Linked DNA regions of Drosophila melanogaster. The protein of the gene in region 1 interacts with the protein of each later gene in a pairwise test. Each region holds a gene or a part of one and is shown in the gene's direction. Other genes may lie near its edges. The genes, in order: bic, C1GalTA, Nha2 and Argk2.

What was found.
Region 2: the proteins of bic (region 1) and C1GalTA interact in a two-hybrid assay, tested with the Drosophila melanogaster proteins (one large-scale study listed by BioGRID).
Region 3: the proteins of bic (region 1) and Nha2 interact in a two-hybrid assay, tested with the Drosophila melanogaster proteins (one large-scale study listed by BioGRID).
Region 4: the proteins of bic (region 1) and Argk2 interact in a two-hybrid assay, tested with the Drosophila melanogaster proteins (one large-scale study listed by BioGRID).

Annotation. Positions count from the first base shown.
Region 1 is NT_033778.4:12,868,351-12,872,311, forward strand, and holds bic (bicaudal), read left to right. Parts: upstream 1-1,898; 5' UTR 1,899-1,980; exon of another isoform or gene 1,981-2,052; coding exon 2,053-2,562; 3' UTR 2,563-3,444; downstream 3,445-3,961.
Region 2 is NT_033779.5:8,948,216-8,953,035, reverse strand, and holds the start of C1GalTA (core 1 galactosyltransferase A), read left to right. Parts: upstream 1-1,819; 5' UTR 1,820-2,058; exon of another isoform or gene 2,059-2,266; intron 2,267-4,820. UniProt on the Drosophila melanogaster protein: Glycosyltransferase that generates the core 1 O-glycan Gal-beta1-3GalNAc-alpha1-Ser/Thr (T antigen), which is a precursor for many extended O-glycans in glycoproteins.
Region 3 is NT_033777.3:22,995,473-23,000,466, reverse strand, and holds the start of Nha2 (Na[+]/H[+] hydrogen antiporter 2), read left to right. Parts: upstream 1-1,938; 5' UTR 1,939-2,286; coding exon 2,287-2,302; intron 2,303-2,681; exon of another isoform or gene 2,682-2,683; coding exon 2,684-2,953; exon of another isoform or gene 2,954-4,013; intron 4,014-4,994. Other genes in the region: CG34375 (uncharacterized protein), read left to right, coding at 1-15.
Region 4 is NT_037436.4:9,045,435-9,049,279, forward strand, and holds Argk2 (arginine kinase 2), read left to right. Parts: upstream 1-2,004; 5' UTR 2,005-2,061; coding exon 2,062-3,228; 3' UTR 3,229-3,290; downstream 3,291-3,845. Other genes in the region: Argk1 (arginine kinase 1), read right to left, coding at 3,842-3,845.

The DNA of each region.
Region 1 (3,961 bases):
TGTCAGTCGTTCTTATCTATAAAAATGAATCAATTCCTTATCGAAGCGCTACTGAGGATGAGTCATTTTAAACAATTTAAATTATATTGTTGTTATACTAAAATTGCTAACATTATAGCAATTATTATATTATGGATAAAAACTGGTAAAATCCTGGCCAGAAAGGGACAACAGACTATTCACTTGTTTCAGATAAGATACGGCCATATAAATAAACATACATAAATAGACAATTACTTTGGCCCTTGCTGATAAAGTAAGTTCCGCTTATTGCTGAGCATACTTAATGTTGTTTACGAATCGGTGGAGAGGCAAAAGAAAAAAACCAAACAAGCCAAAAGCTCTCTCCCATTATTCAGATCTGTCTCTCTCTCTCTATAAATATGTATATCGACTAAATATAATTGTTATTATCACTTCTTAACACGAATAGGATTTTATATACTCTTACACACACTCGCTCACTCATAAAACTCATCTTTTGAGCTAAACTCCGGCTGCTTTGTCTTTCTGAATGACTCATCGGGGAGTTTTTATTTGATTAATGGCTTATAGGCTAATACTTCTACATATATTTTATACAGTTACTCACTGGACAGAACGGCACCTTGGCGTCTGCTGGTGCAGCAATATCCGCAGCAACTCATGATGAGGAAGGTGAGCAGAAAGAACATGAAAATGCCCCAGAAATCCATGGCGAAATCGTCTATATCGTCCAACTCAAAGTCGTCCACTGCGGAAGAAGTTAATGTGTTTAAAAGCTCGTTTCATAGTCGATAAGACGTCGTGAAATACTTACGTTTGACAAGGATTTAGCGGTTATTTCCCTTTGTTAATATCTGTATTTAAAGTCGAAAATTCCACTTGTTGCAGGGAATGCACTGCCTATTTATCGGATTTATCCGCTTTTTGGCAGCACCCGTATAATTCACTTAAATATCAGTGAACTACTCTACCGGAAGGTCGTTATTGAAGCCCGATTGGAATTAACTATATCTTATCAGCGTTAATCTGAAAGTAATACAATTTATCATGATGATAATGGGTGCACGTTATGCAGCACTGACTGCGCTGGCTATGTTTAGTGAGCAGTCGATGTAAAGCGGCGATAGCTAGCGCACTCAACACAGCAATCGATAATTCAAACATAACATCTGATTTAATTGTGTTTAAAACTTTATTGCAAGGTATATAATGGCTCATAATTTTATTTATTTGCGTTCCAAATATTTACTAAATTGAGTTTGTTATACTAAGCTTGTATATTTTGTATAGATATTTTTTAAAACATTACAATTTATCATAATGATGACGTTATGCAGCACTGACTGCTGAGTTTAGTGAGTAGTCGATGCAAGCCAACGATAGCTATCGAACTCAACAAAGCAATCGATACTATTGGAATAGAAAATATAAGAATTAATTAATTCAAACATTACATCTGGTTTAATTGTGTTTAAAACTTTATTGCTGGGTTTATGATGGCTCATAATTATGTTTATTAACATTCCAAATGTTTAGTAAATTGGTTTTTTTTCTTACCACGTTTATTTTTAATTTTATATAGCAAATTTTTAAACATATTTACTTATATATGTGGTTGAAAGCGATGAAAATAAAGTAAATCGATTAAATTGAGATTTATGCCCTGAGTAGATTTACTTTCCCACCATATACTACTAAAAATTTGAATATATTCAAAACTAAAAATTCATTCAAAATTCAGAAAACGTATTACTTCAAAAATAATGTATAAATTATATAAACAATAGAATTTTTAAATTTCTTTGGCGCGCTTTGGTTGCCACCTTGTGAGCTATCGATAGTCAACACTCACGTTTAGTACTTCCTACCAGTACTACTCACATATACATACACCTTTTGCCATTTTTATCATGGCGATTTCTTTTTGACATTTGACTACGACTGGGCGCACGTGTTTTCTGGCAAGGCTCTGTGCTAAATTCTAGTAAAATCAAAGTGAGTAGTGGAAAGTGCGGCATTCGATTGGCGTTTTACTGATGCGACCATTGTGTGTACTCAATTGAACAGATGAACGCGGAAAAGCTGAAGAAGTTGCAGGCGCAGGTGCGCATTGGCGGCAAGGGCACCCCTCGCCGCAAGAAGAAGATCGTCCACTCCACGCCCGCCACCGACGACAAGAAGCTGCAGTCGTCGCTCAAGAAGCTGTCGGTAAACACAATTCCCGGCATCGAGGAGGTGAACATCATCAAGAACGATGGCACCGTCATCCACTTCAACAATCCGAAGGCCCAGGCCTCGCTGCCGACGAACACGTTTGCCATCACGGGTCATGGCGAGAACAAGACGATCACCGAGATGGTGCCCGGCATTCTGACGCAACTGGGTCCCCAGGACATCAACCAGCTGAAGAAGCTGGCCACGGAGATTGCCAGCAAGAGCGGCGCCGGCGGAGCAGCCGGCTCTTCAGCCGCCGATGCCGGTGACGATGATGTGCCCGATCTGGTCGAGAACTTCGAGGAGGTGGCCATCGCCGACACAAAGGAGGAGAAGTCCGGTGAGGTGGCGGCCTCCGCTTAGGCTGGTCCAACCCCGCCCACCCGGGCAAATCACACCACCACACACCGAACACAAAAACATACATACAAAACATACGGGGCCAGGGAGCAAGACGAAGTGGCTGGCATACAGGGCAGAACCCACACACCAGACACGCCGGAAACACATCTACCACTTACCCATTCCGGTTCCAAATCGGAAACGGATCCACTCCGGACTGCAACCAGCGCTTCTGCCCTGAATGGGCCATTCTTCGTGCTCCCTCCAGCCACTTTTTTGGGGGTCATGCTACACACTATACTAAAATACAAAAATAAAGGCATCCGAGTGAGCGCTGAACAGAACACATAAGCATAATAACTATACTTAACATACTAAGGGAACCCTTCAATCTTAATCTAATTGTACTAGTTTGGAACAGTCAAATGTATTTTCCAAAGCGATTAAAGAACGTTTCCTTAACCAAAAAAAACCACAGTCTAAACAACACACACATTCTAATTTTTGCCGCCCTCCCAAGAACAACACACACAGATGTATCTATAGATATATGCGCTGTCATAAAACACTATATACTATATATATACGATACGGTTTTCGGAAGAATTGTGACGAGGTGATTAGGGGAACAACGCAGACACTCCAGATGAATTCATTGCCAGGTCGCGAGGACAGAGAAATATATTTTTAGCACTACTAGCTCTTACCGATTTTCCCCAATTTCCGACTTTTCGATGTAACCCCGCCCTCAAGGAATCCTCAATTGAAAACGAAAACAAGCTGAGGCCACAATTTCGATTCGAGAACAATGTGCCCAAATTGTTGAAAGCATAGCTTATAATTTGTAAACTATTGTTTTAGACCATCATTACCATGCATAACATTAAATGAGCTGTAAAAACCATACGACCCATTCATATTTCCAGCATTTTTTTTTTAGTTTAATGCCTATTTTTTTCTTTGCTTGCATAATCGACATGTGTGTGAGTGTGGGCCTGTGTGTGTATGCATAGCAACGCTCTTGTGTGAGGTTTTCGAGGTGATGGGAAAGGGGTAGTGGGAGGTGTGGCGCAAAGCACGCGGCAGTCGAAAACTTGTTGACATTTGGTATGGTACGTCTAAAATCCAGATGGTCAGAAGGCTCCTTCGGCAGGAACTATGACCCGTACGCAACTTCCAAATTATGTGTCCAAATCCAAAGTTGGGAGTCGTAGCATGCGGTACATGCACATATGTATATATATAAATATGTATATGGTTTTTGGTCGGAAATCTTCGAAATGAGTCACGTTTAAATTGGCTTAAAATTGCGATTAGGCCAGTTCAACCGGAATGTTTCTTGAAGTTTCCACTCATTTGTACATAAACAAGCGATTGCGGCTTCTTATCACATTTCGACGACCTATAACGGATTAAGGTT
Region 2 (4,820 bases), on another chromosome or scaffold:
AATGAAAAAAAAACATCATTCAAATTTAGCAGATCGTTGGGAACGTCAGCAAATGAAAGCTGATTGCTACGAATCTAATGTTGATCTACACTGTATATACTTGTGGTTGTGTAGATAATGTGTAAGATTACAGTAAAAAAAATAAAGTCAGTCAGCGATTTTTATACCCGTTACTCGTAGCTTAAGAGGGTATTCTCGACTTGTTGAAAAGGGTGTAACGGATCTTGACACGCGGCATTTTTATTTCGAAACATCACGCCGACACTTTTAAAACATTTTTTTTGAGTAACGGGTATCTGGTAGTCACGAAACTCGACTGTAGCGTTTAAAAAACTCCTGAACTCTCATTCGTTGCTCACTAATTAGAAGACAGAATTTGCCCTTATCAGAGTTGTCAGATAATGCTAACAAGAAATACTATCTTATCTGAAGTGATCGATTGCAAAAAGTTATATGAACTCATTAACCAGCCCCACATCAATAAATATTTATTAAAGGCATTCGTCACCAATTGCATTAATTTCGATTTCTGGGTTTAAAAATATTTAACGTATATTCACTAATTTTGGCTGACAACATGGAGTTACCTTAATAAATTTTCAAGTAGTCTATGTTCAGGTTTCGAATATGAAGTATTAGAAGTCTTTAGCATCACAGAAGCCGGTTGTTAATGTACAATAGATAACGAATCAAACAAAAACGTTTCTTAACGAGTTTGCGCGTATACATAACTTGTTTAATTACAGTTGCGATATCGCAAATTTTTAACGTACAATGCAAAAAATTTCTTGCATTCAAATTTGATGTTAGTTATATTTTCTAATAACGGTTTTGGACAACTATTTTTATAGCTTGTGAAATCTTACTAGAAAAAAAAAAAAAAAAAATACAAAAATCTTATATTTTTAAACGGGGTTTTCTCTATAACTTGGTAAAAAAAAGGTGGCACATCTAACGAAAAAAAACACTGTTTTATACTGCTCATAAGCATACCTAACTATCCCTATCATAATTTTAATGATTTTCAAAAATCAAAATTTGAACAAGTTTTCGGTAATTTTATATTCTTTCCTTTCTAGATTGTGATTTTTGGAGATATTTCAGACGTACAATTATCAATTTATATATTATGCACATATATTTGTATTCATTCTTTGAGAAAGTAATATTCGAAAGAGTGGACACAAATCTTAGAACCAACCCCAAAAACAAACCCTTAAGATAGTTTCCAACAGCTGTTTTGCCAAATATATGGTGACTAGTAGCGAGTGATGAGAGAAACAGGCCATTGATAAATCGAAGTCACACCACTTATATATACAAACTACATATCTTACCTATAATATTTTAGTTTAATAGAAGTTTTTTTTATAATTTTCAAATCACTCTCGCTCTTTATAGAAAGCCGGTACCGGTTTACACCCCCTTTCCGACACAAGCATATAAAAAGAACAGCGAGAGAGAGAGAGAGTGAGCTTTGGTTCTCTCACTTAATTCTGTTGATTGCACAGGTAGAAACAAATAACTTGTATACTGCGATATTTAAATTTATTTGTTTTTGTACTAATTTGTACTATATTCTGGTTAAATATGAAATAGTTAAAAATACTTATTGGGAACTGATATTTTAAATAATATATTTAATAATACTTGGTGTAATTAAATTCAAATTTTTTACTTTTATTGCACTAGACAGCAATAATAGCTTATGTTTCAACTTCGATCATAATCATAAATTTTTTTAATTTACAACTTTCAACATTTTCTTGCCAGTGTACTCTGTTCTCTTCGTTCTCGCTCGTGCTCAGTTTTAGAATTCGCGGCAGTTGTTTTTGTTTGTCCGGCGCGTTCGCTTGCTTCACTTATGCGCTTGTTGAAAATCAAGGAAAGGGCGCGGAAAATAAGTTTAATTAAATATTTCGAGTGGCTCGACTAACACAGCAATTAAGCGAATGTGCAAAACGTGAAAGCAGTTGTGAATAAAACGCACTCATCGCGAAATTAAAAGCTTTTTGGGAGCGTCCTGCGATGGAGAAACGCGTGAGGAAAAATCAATTCGTAAGTAAATGGGCGACGCGAAAAACGGTGATTTAAAAATCAAATGAAATGAAACGCGTGCGGAATTTACCTGAACGGAAAACTAATCGGTCAGCAAAAATTGCGTTTTGTGCCAAAACAGAAAGCGCAATAAATATAATATACAATTGCGCATATGGTGTATGTACATAGAGTGCAAGAAGAACGTGACAAGGAAGAGCAAACGAAGGTGAAGAGTGTGAATAAAACCAAAACAATAAGAACGAACAAGTTTAAGCCACTGTTACGGCAAGTAACGCACGAGAATATACATATGTACATATATTGGTTTCCAACTGGAAACTGAAATTGACTAGAAGGAAGTGGAAGGAAGAATTGCCTGACGGCCTTTCCTTCCAGTCCGGCCACTCACACTACCAAAGCCCCTTGCTGCAGGATGTTAAAATAAAGCTAATGAAGAAAAGAATTGAGAACAGTATAAAAAAAATAGCTAAACTCTTGGGTCCCCATTCCTAAAATATTTGTAAACTCTGATCCTATGCCTAAAAATTATAAAATCAATGCAAAAAGTTTAAATTATAAGGTACAGCATTTATTAAATTTAACGTTCTGTTCCAAGTGTGTTTGAGGCATTTAAGGCGACAACTCTAATATGTTATCTGTTTGAGGGTCGTTGGTCTTGAGTATTTTTAATAACCCGCTAAACACAAAGGAATATGTTGATAACTAGGCGAGAAGTGGCTTCCCAATTCGTGATGTCTTATCCTGGTGGTTGTTGTTGTCTCTGTTAATGTAATGACATTCCCCAAACAGCTGCATTTTGGTTTCTCGCTCTCCGGCTCTCTTCAGTTGTCATTTCCGTTATGCCCTGCCATGCACTCAGCCCTCCCCCTCTATTCCCTTTTGCATCCGGGGGGTGAATTAACTGCAGCCGAAACGCATTTACTTTAATTTATTTGTGGTTCCAGTGGGCGTCACTTTCTCTCCCTCTCATTTTTATCTCGACAGAGAGAGAGAGAGCAGCACATGCTATTGTGCGTGCATTTGTATTTGTATTTCTCGTCTCTGCTCTCTGATTAGCCTTCTCTTGTTATTGTTGCGGGGATAATTCATATGCAGATTGCACCTAGTGATTGCCATTCAAATTCAACTGATAGTGGAAGCTGGAACTTGTACTATAAACATACATATGGTTCTTCCTGCTTCAAGTAAAAAAACAGTAGCCATTTCCATCAGTCATCAAAGTAATGAACTCTCCTTGCAACATATGGGACTGAATAAGAATAGTACTTTATGCTACTTTTAGCATGTTTTCGTTTTCCAGAAGAGAACTACCTAGTAAATGAGTTTTAATAATTATGAATGACTCTAAAAGACTGATCCTTAAAGAGCTCCTTACTTAATGTATTATTACATTATTTTTAAAAATATTCAATACCAAGTCAAATAGTTTTTAATGTATTATTTCTTGTATTGGGTGTATTTGTTCTTAAATGTGTGTTATTTCGTAAAGCCAAAAATCTGAATTTGAATAGACTAACCCAATAACCTTAAACCAGCTGTGCCATGCCCCGCGGGCTATACTATAGAATATTGTTCAATGGCCCCAAAAAGGTGCCATTTCACGTGAGATTCAGGTGAATAGCGCTATACCTATTCATTAATCAGCAATCAATTATCTATCAGCAAAGCCTTTTAATCAATATTTAATTAAGAACTCACATTCCGACTTTTCTTCTTATACATTGCTTTTGTCGATGTCGTTTGAACAACAGAGTAATAGATATTGTTCATTGGGACAGAAAATAATAGTTACTTGAGAACTCTTATAGATAAGCTCTCCGTAAAGTATACAAAATTTTAAGGAATGGAATTCTTTAAGGTTGAACTAATGGCATAATCACTTTTCTCATTCGTTCGTTATATGAATCATATTAATATTTCCATTTTCATTTGCTGTATTGTACTATTACACGATGAACAAAGAAACAGAGTTTTAAAAACGAATGCCATGTTTTTTTTTTGTGCCTGATAACAATTCCGCAGTCCAGTTCCACTTTGATAAACAGCTGCCGACATCATTGTGCCAGTCCTTACTGTATTGTTTATCTGAAAGGGAAGTTACTGAAAGTGAATTGAAATAAAACGAGAATCATAGAGCCAAAACATTAAGTACAGGGTACTTTGCTTATACGGGCTCCAAAAATAAAATACAATAACTGAATTAAAATATTTGCGGGATCGCAGAGCGTGGCTGATTTTATTGACCGCAGATGAAAAGCGGCCAAACAAAACAATTGTACAATTGGTTTGGTTTCTGGTTTTAGTTTGTCTTTCTGGCCCATTCTGTTTTTACATTTTTTTTTTTAAATTACGATGAATGGACTGTCACGCTAGTCTGAGTATAGGGCAGCAAAAAAGCAAAAGGCACTCTATTAACTGAATGACATAATAATAAATTTAGTTTAGCTTAATTTCTATTAACAGGTGCTCCATTACGCGCTCTCGATGAATTAGTTAAGAACTAGATTATTATTATTATTATACATATATAGTGAATAAGAATTTAAGCTACATAAGTTGACTTTTGGGAAAACTTAACTACAATATTAAGCTGGTTTTGAAAAACCCATAAATATAGTTATGCTTATCTATTTGAGTTATGATGAGGTAAACGTTTTATGTCAAGGGTTCTACACACACACATTGAGGGAATTTTTTAAGCTTTACAATGCCACAAAATATTTTTTTTTATTATCTGTGCAAGGTACTACATCTTTGAC
Region 3 (4,994 bases), on another chromosome or scaffold:
ATCAAAAGCAGGTAGACCCCATCATGCACCCAAGACTGGTCCCAAAACATAGGTATTCTAAGCTAATTAGCAGGTAGTAATCGTGTTTAAGAGCTTTGAGGCAAGTTTAAGAACTGATGGCTGCGAAAGCGGCGATAGAGCAAACCAAAATGCAATGAACATAAAATAAGAATAAAATGTGAAATGTATGCTTTGTAAATTATATTTGCATTTTTTCCATCGACCGCGTATTTATACGAAAAATGCAAAACGCAATTTGGAAATGTGTTTAATTTGCAATATTTTTAATTAATAAAAACATTTAGAAATGTGCTGGCCTGGCAGTTTGAAAGTCCTCGCCATTGAGTGTCCACGTTGAGCTCAACAACCTGCAGATGCTCTATAAGAGTAGCGAGCTAAATTAATGGTTTGTATGGTACTTTAATGAAAAACAAAATAAATCTTTCTGCGCCATATGCGATTCTTTTGGAATATCATGACCCATTTCAAGAGTATCTCCATTAGTCCTTGCATCCTTATGGCGGAATAATAACACCAATGTTTGTGCAAAAGAAATTGAAAAACTGAAAACTGAAAACTCAAAACAGAAAACTGAATACTGAAAACTGGTAACTAGCGCCTGTCTGTTTGCTGCCTCCTGATAATTGACTTGCATGCAAATTAATGTTTTTTGCATGTGGGCGTAAATTGCTGCCCTGTCTGACAAACAGTAAACACGGTCAATGCAGCGGCGAGTCATTTTCATCAACGCGCCGCTGCACTATACATAAATCTCTGCCCCATCGATGTTTACCATATTTAAGGAAAAAATTCCAATTTGATGCAACAAAAATCACGGCACTGTAACAACATGTGTGTGCGTGGCAAATAGAGCGAGAAAGTTGTATTATCCTTTTTGCAGCGCCCCGCACCTCACAATGTCCTGTTTTTTTTGAGCCATCATCATAGTCATCATCATCGTCGTCATAATGGCCATCTTATAGAGTGAGAGTGCAACTGCAACTCCATACAGTGCAAAAAAGTGTGTGTGCATAGTTAAAATAAATTAAATATTTTCGCAAACGACACTTTTTTTGCGCAACAACGTGTGGCACCTGATGAGGAGATGATCTGACTGGAGCACTGGATAATGGTGGTGACGTCACTGCGATTGGTTATCTTTGTCATGGGGCTGGTTTGTCCATCAGGTAAATTAAAAATATTCCAGCGAAGCAATTAAATTACAGCCACGGCGTGGGAGTGGCCACGGCGCCCAATATGATGAGCAACGTCAAAATGCAAATTGTCAGAAAAACAATTTGCAAGACAAGCGAAACTCTTTTTACTTCAAGGAAATATAATTGCTTTCCAAGCTCACAAAAATTAATAATTAATAATAAAAACAATATAAGGTAGTTTTTTTTTTAATACCATGTAAACGCAGCTGGCAAACTAAAGCGCCATCTATGGCACAGAATTGCCGCCCCAATGATAGAGCTCAAATGGGGCAGGTCGCGCACATTTCCCTAAAAAAAAGTGAAAGCGTTTAATCATTCCGACACTCACACATGGGAAATGCGCTATGATTAGAGGTCTATTAATAACGCGGCTATTCGGCGCCTTATCTAGTTCAGATAAATTATGATTACATGACAATTATTTATCAGCTAATTGGCTGCGCCTTAGAAAACTATGGGCATATTGAATCGCAGATAAACGAACCCCTTATAAATATGTAAGTGCTTCCAAACAGACCCCACCCCCACCCCTCATTTCACCCAACCCAGAAACCAACTCATTCCGCACTTTTCGCTCGACAGCAATGAAAACAGAAGGTTCGCCTTCCGCAGAGCTTGTTTGTTTGCCAATTAGTTTTAATCGAAGAGCGCTCGCTGGAGCTGCGCGAATCGGCAATTGCTTGTTTAAATGGCTTTTGCTTTTCTAATTAATGCGTTTGGCAAATATTTGCCAGTGCATGAGCTGTAATAAAAAGAAGCTCCAAGTGCTCAAGTTCCGGGGCTACTACACTATTTCATTCCGCCTTTCCGCCGGTCGTGTCGCGCGTGTTCCGTTCCCTGCATATACTATACTATATACTATATATCCACTCGATTCGCAGCTAACCAATCTCTTCAAACCGCGGCGTTTCTCTTTGGCACTCGTCAATTTTGAGCCAAGAATAGCCATTTGGACTACGTCATCGTACTGATTGCGTCAGCAGTTGTCGCTCTTTGGCATTATTTTCCGCGTTTTTTTCACTCAATCACTCAGTTTTGTTTTGTTCTCTGGATTTCGCCGACATTCGACATGAGCAGCGATTCCGGTAAGCGATTCTGGCAGCTTTCGATACTCACTTTCGGCGTTAATTTACGAGTTTATGGTTAATCAATTAAATGCCACTTTTTGCCCAAGTGCCAATAAATAAATCGTGTGCAAATATGTTCGGGCTTCCACAAGTCAAATTGTTGGGAAATTAACTCTTTTATTTATATACTTGGGACTGGAAAATAAGAATGGTAGAATGGAATTATCAATATTTTTTGTTTGATTAGCAACCCTTCGGCTTTATCTATCATGCGTAATTAAAAATGTTACCAAATAGCTTGAGTCAATTTTTTTTGTGGGAAAAAAGTATGAATATAAAGCGATTTTAATTTTAATATCATACAAATTAATTTATATATATATATATATTTTTTTTTAGATATATTGGATGTAGTGGCAGGCAGTGAGGGTCCACCCTTGCAAGCCTTTCGCAGCAGCAATCCCTTCGAGGACTCGTATCAAATGTCCTCCTGCCAGCAAGATTTCGAACGCGATCGTGATGCGAACTTGACTCCATTGCATATGCTGCGTCGAGCCAGCGAAACGGTGACCGCCAGCATCCTGGAGCCGGAAAAGGAGCACCTCCTTGGCGACAAGCCACAGGTGCCCCCTCGTGCCCATGGAAGCACCGCGCCAAGCGCCATCGAAGGTGAGTGATATGTTTAATTGCACCGCGTCGTCATGGGGAAATTCGAAAAATGCGGAACGAAAGTATTTGTTACGGAAATTCTTGCCTTTATGCAACCAGCTCCCCGGATCAGTGTGCACACAACCCGCAGACAGGACGGCAAAAAGGATGCTGAAGACAGAGACATCCAGTGGAACAGCTCCATGCCAACGCTTTGTTGGCCAGCCAAGCGAAGTGGCTCCGACAGCCAAGTGCACAATGCGTGCTCAGATATGCACATATGCACTTCAGCACATATACGAGTATTCATAGTTTGTTTATGCAAAGTTTTTGTTTCGCCGTCGAGATATCCTGGCAGAATCACAGCTTTTTCTCTCAACTGGCAGGAGCTGATTGAGGCATTTCGATTTTAAGTGAACCGCACAATCACATCTTGCACAAGATGGCGAAGGCGGGCGGGGGACACAGGGGCGTATACGTAATATTTCCGCATATTGACGACAGAGTGTCTGCGATTGACAGTCCAGTGCATCTACCGTCCCGGCTCAAACTCAAAGGCAGGCATTTCCTACACATTCCTTCTGATTTCTGGAAATATGCAAGGCTGTGCCCTGCTGGCCATGTGTGTGGACCACTTTCGTTGGCCGAGCTTTTTGTTTACGCTCCTCTGTTTTGGCAGGTGGCCCTTGCTGGTTTTTCGCCCACAGCCGAGTAGCTAGTATTTTTGAAACTCCCAGAGCAGCAATTGTTTTGCATCTGTTCAAATGCGGGTTTTCGCACCAGTCCATTGTACAACTTTTTGGGAGAATTGGGGAGAACTTCCCTTTGGGCCATCGCAATTGTGGCATTTTCACACGAATAATGAGCCAGTTTAGTTGCGCCCAAATGCCCGCAATCATACAACTAACACGAGTGGCAAAAGCCCGCGGCTCTCGGCAAAGTATGTTCCCATGAATATGCATTAACCGGGGCTCATTTCCTGTGCATTCATTTCGCATTTGCTATTCGCTTTCACATTCGGAGTGCACCACTGATTCTGATTCAGATTCCGATTCCGATTCCGATGCCCGTTTCCATTTCGCGTCTGACTCTGATTTGACTGTGGAAGTCATATTTAAATAAGTTTGCGCACCGCTGCAGGCAGCACTAATGCTCGCATGTGCAGGCACTCGTTTATATTAAATAAATTCCATTTAAATGCAGCGTTTGGGGCAATTCCTCAAGCTCAACCTTGAATGGCACAGCCCTACCATCCACCTGCCCCATCCACATTTCACCTGTCGCTTCTGCTTGTGAGTGAAACGGTGACATTTCTGTTAACTAAAGCCAACATGATATACGCTTGGCACACAAACATGCACTCGTCTATTGATAAATGCAGTGCATTGCGCATTCGCCTCATGCGCCTGTGTGTGTGTGTGTGCAAGTCAGTTCATTACGTATACGCAGTGTGCGACATTTATAAATGCCAGCTAGACTGTGACTCAGCATAATGATTGCCAAATGAATGGTAGAATGTTAACCGTCACGAAAACCCTTTCGACGCCATTTCAATTGGCGCTGGTGCGTTTCGCAGCTGTGTTGGCCCACTTTGGAGGCTTGAATACTTTGGCTAAATCTGAAGGATTTGCAGGCACTTGCACTTGCGCCACAGCTAATTACTAAAACTGCACTTAGTCGCCCCTCCCGCACTTAACCTTTGACCACCTGTCAGACTTTGGCTGCTTATTTGCCGAGCTGCAACGGGGGTTTTTTTTTTCAATTTGTCTCTGGCTCTTTTATTTACCAGCATGGCGCTGAATGGCGCTTTGTGACCTCATTTCTCTACCATTTTTATATAGTTTACCAGCCCGGAGCCAAGAAAGTGCCAGTTTCCACTGATTTGCGATGTATGAGCACTAAATTCGATGCGAATCGCTGGGGCGTGAGTTCATCTCTTGGCAGGAAGTGCGTGACAACGGAATGCAATCTTCTTCCACGCAAAGAAATTATTTTCCGAATGCGCGCTGCATGTGGAGTTGCAAGTCGGCATCAGGATTCAGGACGCGGCAAGGATGCCGGC
Region 4 (3,845 bases), on another chromosome or scaffold:
TCAACTAAGTAAGTTTTGGCTTATGGTATTGCTAATAGAAATGGTTTTTAAAGTAAATTTAAAGAAAGAAAAATTCAACATTCATCTGATCATTTCAAAATCGAAGCACTTTTCTTGCAGTGCACTTGCTGCTGTTGCCGTCTTGTGAAATTTTCGTTTTATCGCACCTTTTATGGCCATTGGCCAGGCCAAAACGAAGTGGGAGCTGGCCAAGAAACCGAAACAGAAACCGATGCCGAGTCGGTTGGAGAGACTTTGGTGTGGTCACTCCTTGTGTGCATTATCGTGTCAAATGCGACAAATCTGTCTGTGGCCCGGCGGCTGCCTTTCAGCTTGCATAATTGAGCTGATAACTCGGCGCTCCGTGGATGTGTGCGGTCCACTTTTGAGCGTTTCCTAAACGGTGGCGCCAAACATTTCGTGTTTAATATTTTTAATTAAGTTTTTAAGTGCATCCAGAAGGAGATGGGACCACAGAGAATTTATCTAGCCAGTCGTTGCGGATAGTTCAAAGGGGCAACGAATCGATTTGGCTTCCATTCATAGAAATCGATGCATATATTATGCATAATGTAAGCCAAATCAGCGCGAAATAATTCACCAGCCACACGAAGCCGCGTTTCAAGCGGCTTTTTGACTAATTTGGGCTTAGTTTTGTATTAGCGCTTTGTGTTTCTCCTCGTCTTCGATTGGATTTGTTGGTGCATAAATTTACATTTGAAATGCTGAAACAATTAAATTATGGGATTTGCACGTTTTCACCCAAAAACAAAAGGGGCCAAAACAACATCAAATCACATTCGTTGTCGGCGTCTGTGCCTCAGAAGTGTTTTTTTTTTTTAATGTTAGGTGTTTTTTTGCTGACTCGCTGCTGGCTTCTTTTTGAAAAAACGGTGGCAAAAAGCGTCAAAATTCGTAGATTATGAGATAAAAATGGAAATCGAAGTCGCTCCGGTATTGCATTTCTAATTTGCGCTTGTTTTAATATACTTAATGAATTTTTATGTGTAGGTTGGTCCAATACTCATGCCCAAATCCAAATCCGGTTTTCGTTCGAAGCTGTTGATAATGATAATGAGGATAACGATGCTTTATTGAGGAGGTGTTGCCGTTCGGATCTGAATTTTATTTGCGCCACATGTTAGCATATTGTTGTTGCCGCTGCCGCTTTTGTTGTTCTTTATTGCTAATTATAATATATTTGATTTGGTATTTAAGCTTTAAGCTATAAAAATGTTCGCATTCTCTGTTTTACGAGCCAACAGCTTGCAAATATTCAATTAAATTGTGCGAACGAGAACAGGTCGAGGTGGATTGTGAAAACTAATCATAATTAACACACCTTTTTCTATAATGTTCTAAGTATTTTATTGAAATAAAAAAAGTCAAAAGGAAATAAAACATAGTTTTTGGTTTTGATGGCTTCTACACCCGTATTAAACATATTATATAATTACATTAGTAATATATATCTTAGAAAGTCTACATTTAAACAGAAGAACTGAGTGTTTTAAAACCAGTATTTGAGCTACCAATTTTCGATGGGTTTTGTATACATTTCTTAAGCATTTCCCTGTATTTTACATATTTTACGCATTATTTTACACATAATATTTTACATTTGCCATGTATTTTACAATGGTTTGGAGCCGTGCTATATGAGTACACTATCAAACAAAATTGTTTCTTAAATGCATTATTGTATTTTTAAAAACCATTAAGTGAATATCATATAACGGTTCTTTAAAAAAGTATCAATGAAAATGATTTCTTTACTTTAGCGCAAAACCATAGTTGTGAAAACAATTTTTAAATCCATGAGGAACTCAAGTATATCAAAATTTACTTTATACTTTATTTATTTCAAATTTACTTGTACATAGATTGAGTCTTTGCTTAGCAATCTCCTTTCCGATATCTATTAAAGTGGAGTTTTCAACCGTCTGTTTTTTGTTCGTACTAAATGGCGTTTTACTAGATTTATTCTAGCCATTTGGTTTAATGTCACTTTCTAACTTAGGGTCAGCCTGGCCGGTGTCATTCCAAATTCAACACCTAAAAATGCTGTTACATTTAAAACTCCGGCTTGAACTTCAATTACTAGGCCGCTGTGCGCAGCTAGTAATCAATCGCCATGCCAGCAAAGGAAATGTGGACAAGGAGGTGATGGAGCAAATGGAGAAGGGCTACAAGAAGTTGGCCGAGTCGAAATCCAAGTCCCTGCTGAAGAAGCATCTCACCAAGGAGATCTTCGAGAAGCTAAAGACGAAGACTACACCCTCGTTCAACTCCACACTGCTGCACTGCATCAGTTCGGGAATGTGCAATCATGACTCCGGCGTTGGGCTCTACGCCCCCGATCCGGAGGCATATAAGGTGTTTGCCGATCTCTTTGATCCCGTCATCGAGGAATACCATAAGTGCTTCAAGAAGACGGACAAACAGCCGGCGACTGCTTTCGGCAAAGGCGCGGATTTTGAAAACCTAGATCCCGATGGCCATTTCATCGTATCCACGCGTGTCCGTTGCGGAAGAGCCGTCAAAGGATACCCCTTCAATCCCTGCTTAACGGAGGCTGACTACATGGAGCTGGAGAGTAAGATTTGTGGGGCAGTGACTAGCCTCACCGGAGAGTACAAGGGTAAATACATGCCATTGACTGGAATGGATAAATGCATACAGGAGCAGCTCATAGAGGATCACTATCTGTTCAAGGAGGGCGATCGATTTCTGGCTTCCGCTGGAGCCTCTCGATATTGGCCAACGGGAAGGGGCATCTTTCTGAATAGCGCCAAGAACTTTCTGGTCTGGTGCAACGAGGAGGACCACATACGCATCATCTCGATGGAGAAGGGTGGCGACCTGGGCAAGGTCTACGATCGCATGGTTGGCGGCGTGGAGGCTCTCGGCAAGCAGCTGCAATTCAACAGGGATGAACGACTTGGCTTTTTAACCTTCTGTCCCACCAATCTGGGCACTTCTATTCGCGCCTCGGTGCACATCAAGCTGCCCAATCTAATGTGTGATCCCGACGAGATGAAAAAGCTGGCCGACAAGTATCGTCTACAAATCAGAGGAACCTCGGGCGAGCACTCAGAGGCCAAGGGCGGAGTGCACGATATATCCAACCAACGCAGGATGGGACTAACCGAATACGAAATCATCAAAGAGATGCACGATGGAATCAAGGGTCTCATAGAAGCCGAGTGTAAGGCAAAGTCAGCTTAGTTGTAAAGCGTGAAGTGTACAAAAGGTTAAAGGCCGTGATGAACTCTAAATAAATAATAAACTAAATATTTGTATACCCTATATGTCCTCTATATCCATTGAATACAAAACATTCATTGAGTTTTAAGTTTTTTTTTTATTTTTTTTTTAATAATTTTAATTCTTTTATAAACTTAAGACTTAAATAAAAGTATTTAAAGTTCCTTTTTTTGTTTTTGCTTGACACAGATGTCAAAATGTTTTACATTGTTTGGTTGTAATTAAGCAAATGTTTTTGTCAAATAGTTATCCGTTGTTGCTGCTGCTGCTGTAGGTGTTGATGGTGTTGCAAGATGGGATCCCTGCCTGCGCCCGCGACCCTCAAAGTATACGAAAATGCCGAAGGTTGCCGGACTGGGACAGCAGCTCCACACCATAGCTACAAACTAGACATATTTGCAGTTCGAACCGCCCAAAAGCGACAAGGCGGACGAGCCGAAGATTTCTAAGTGTTGCTGTTGTTGTTCTTGATTGTTGCGTATGCCCCGAACTGGTGGCACCCGTGGATAGATGTTAACTCCGGAGGCGATGCACCTCCAGCCGGGGGGACGATGCTCGGCGGTTGGCGGGCAATTTAC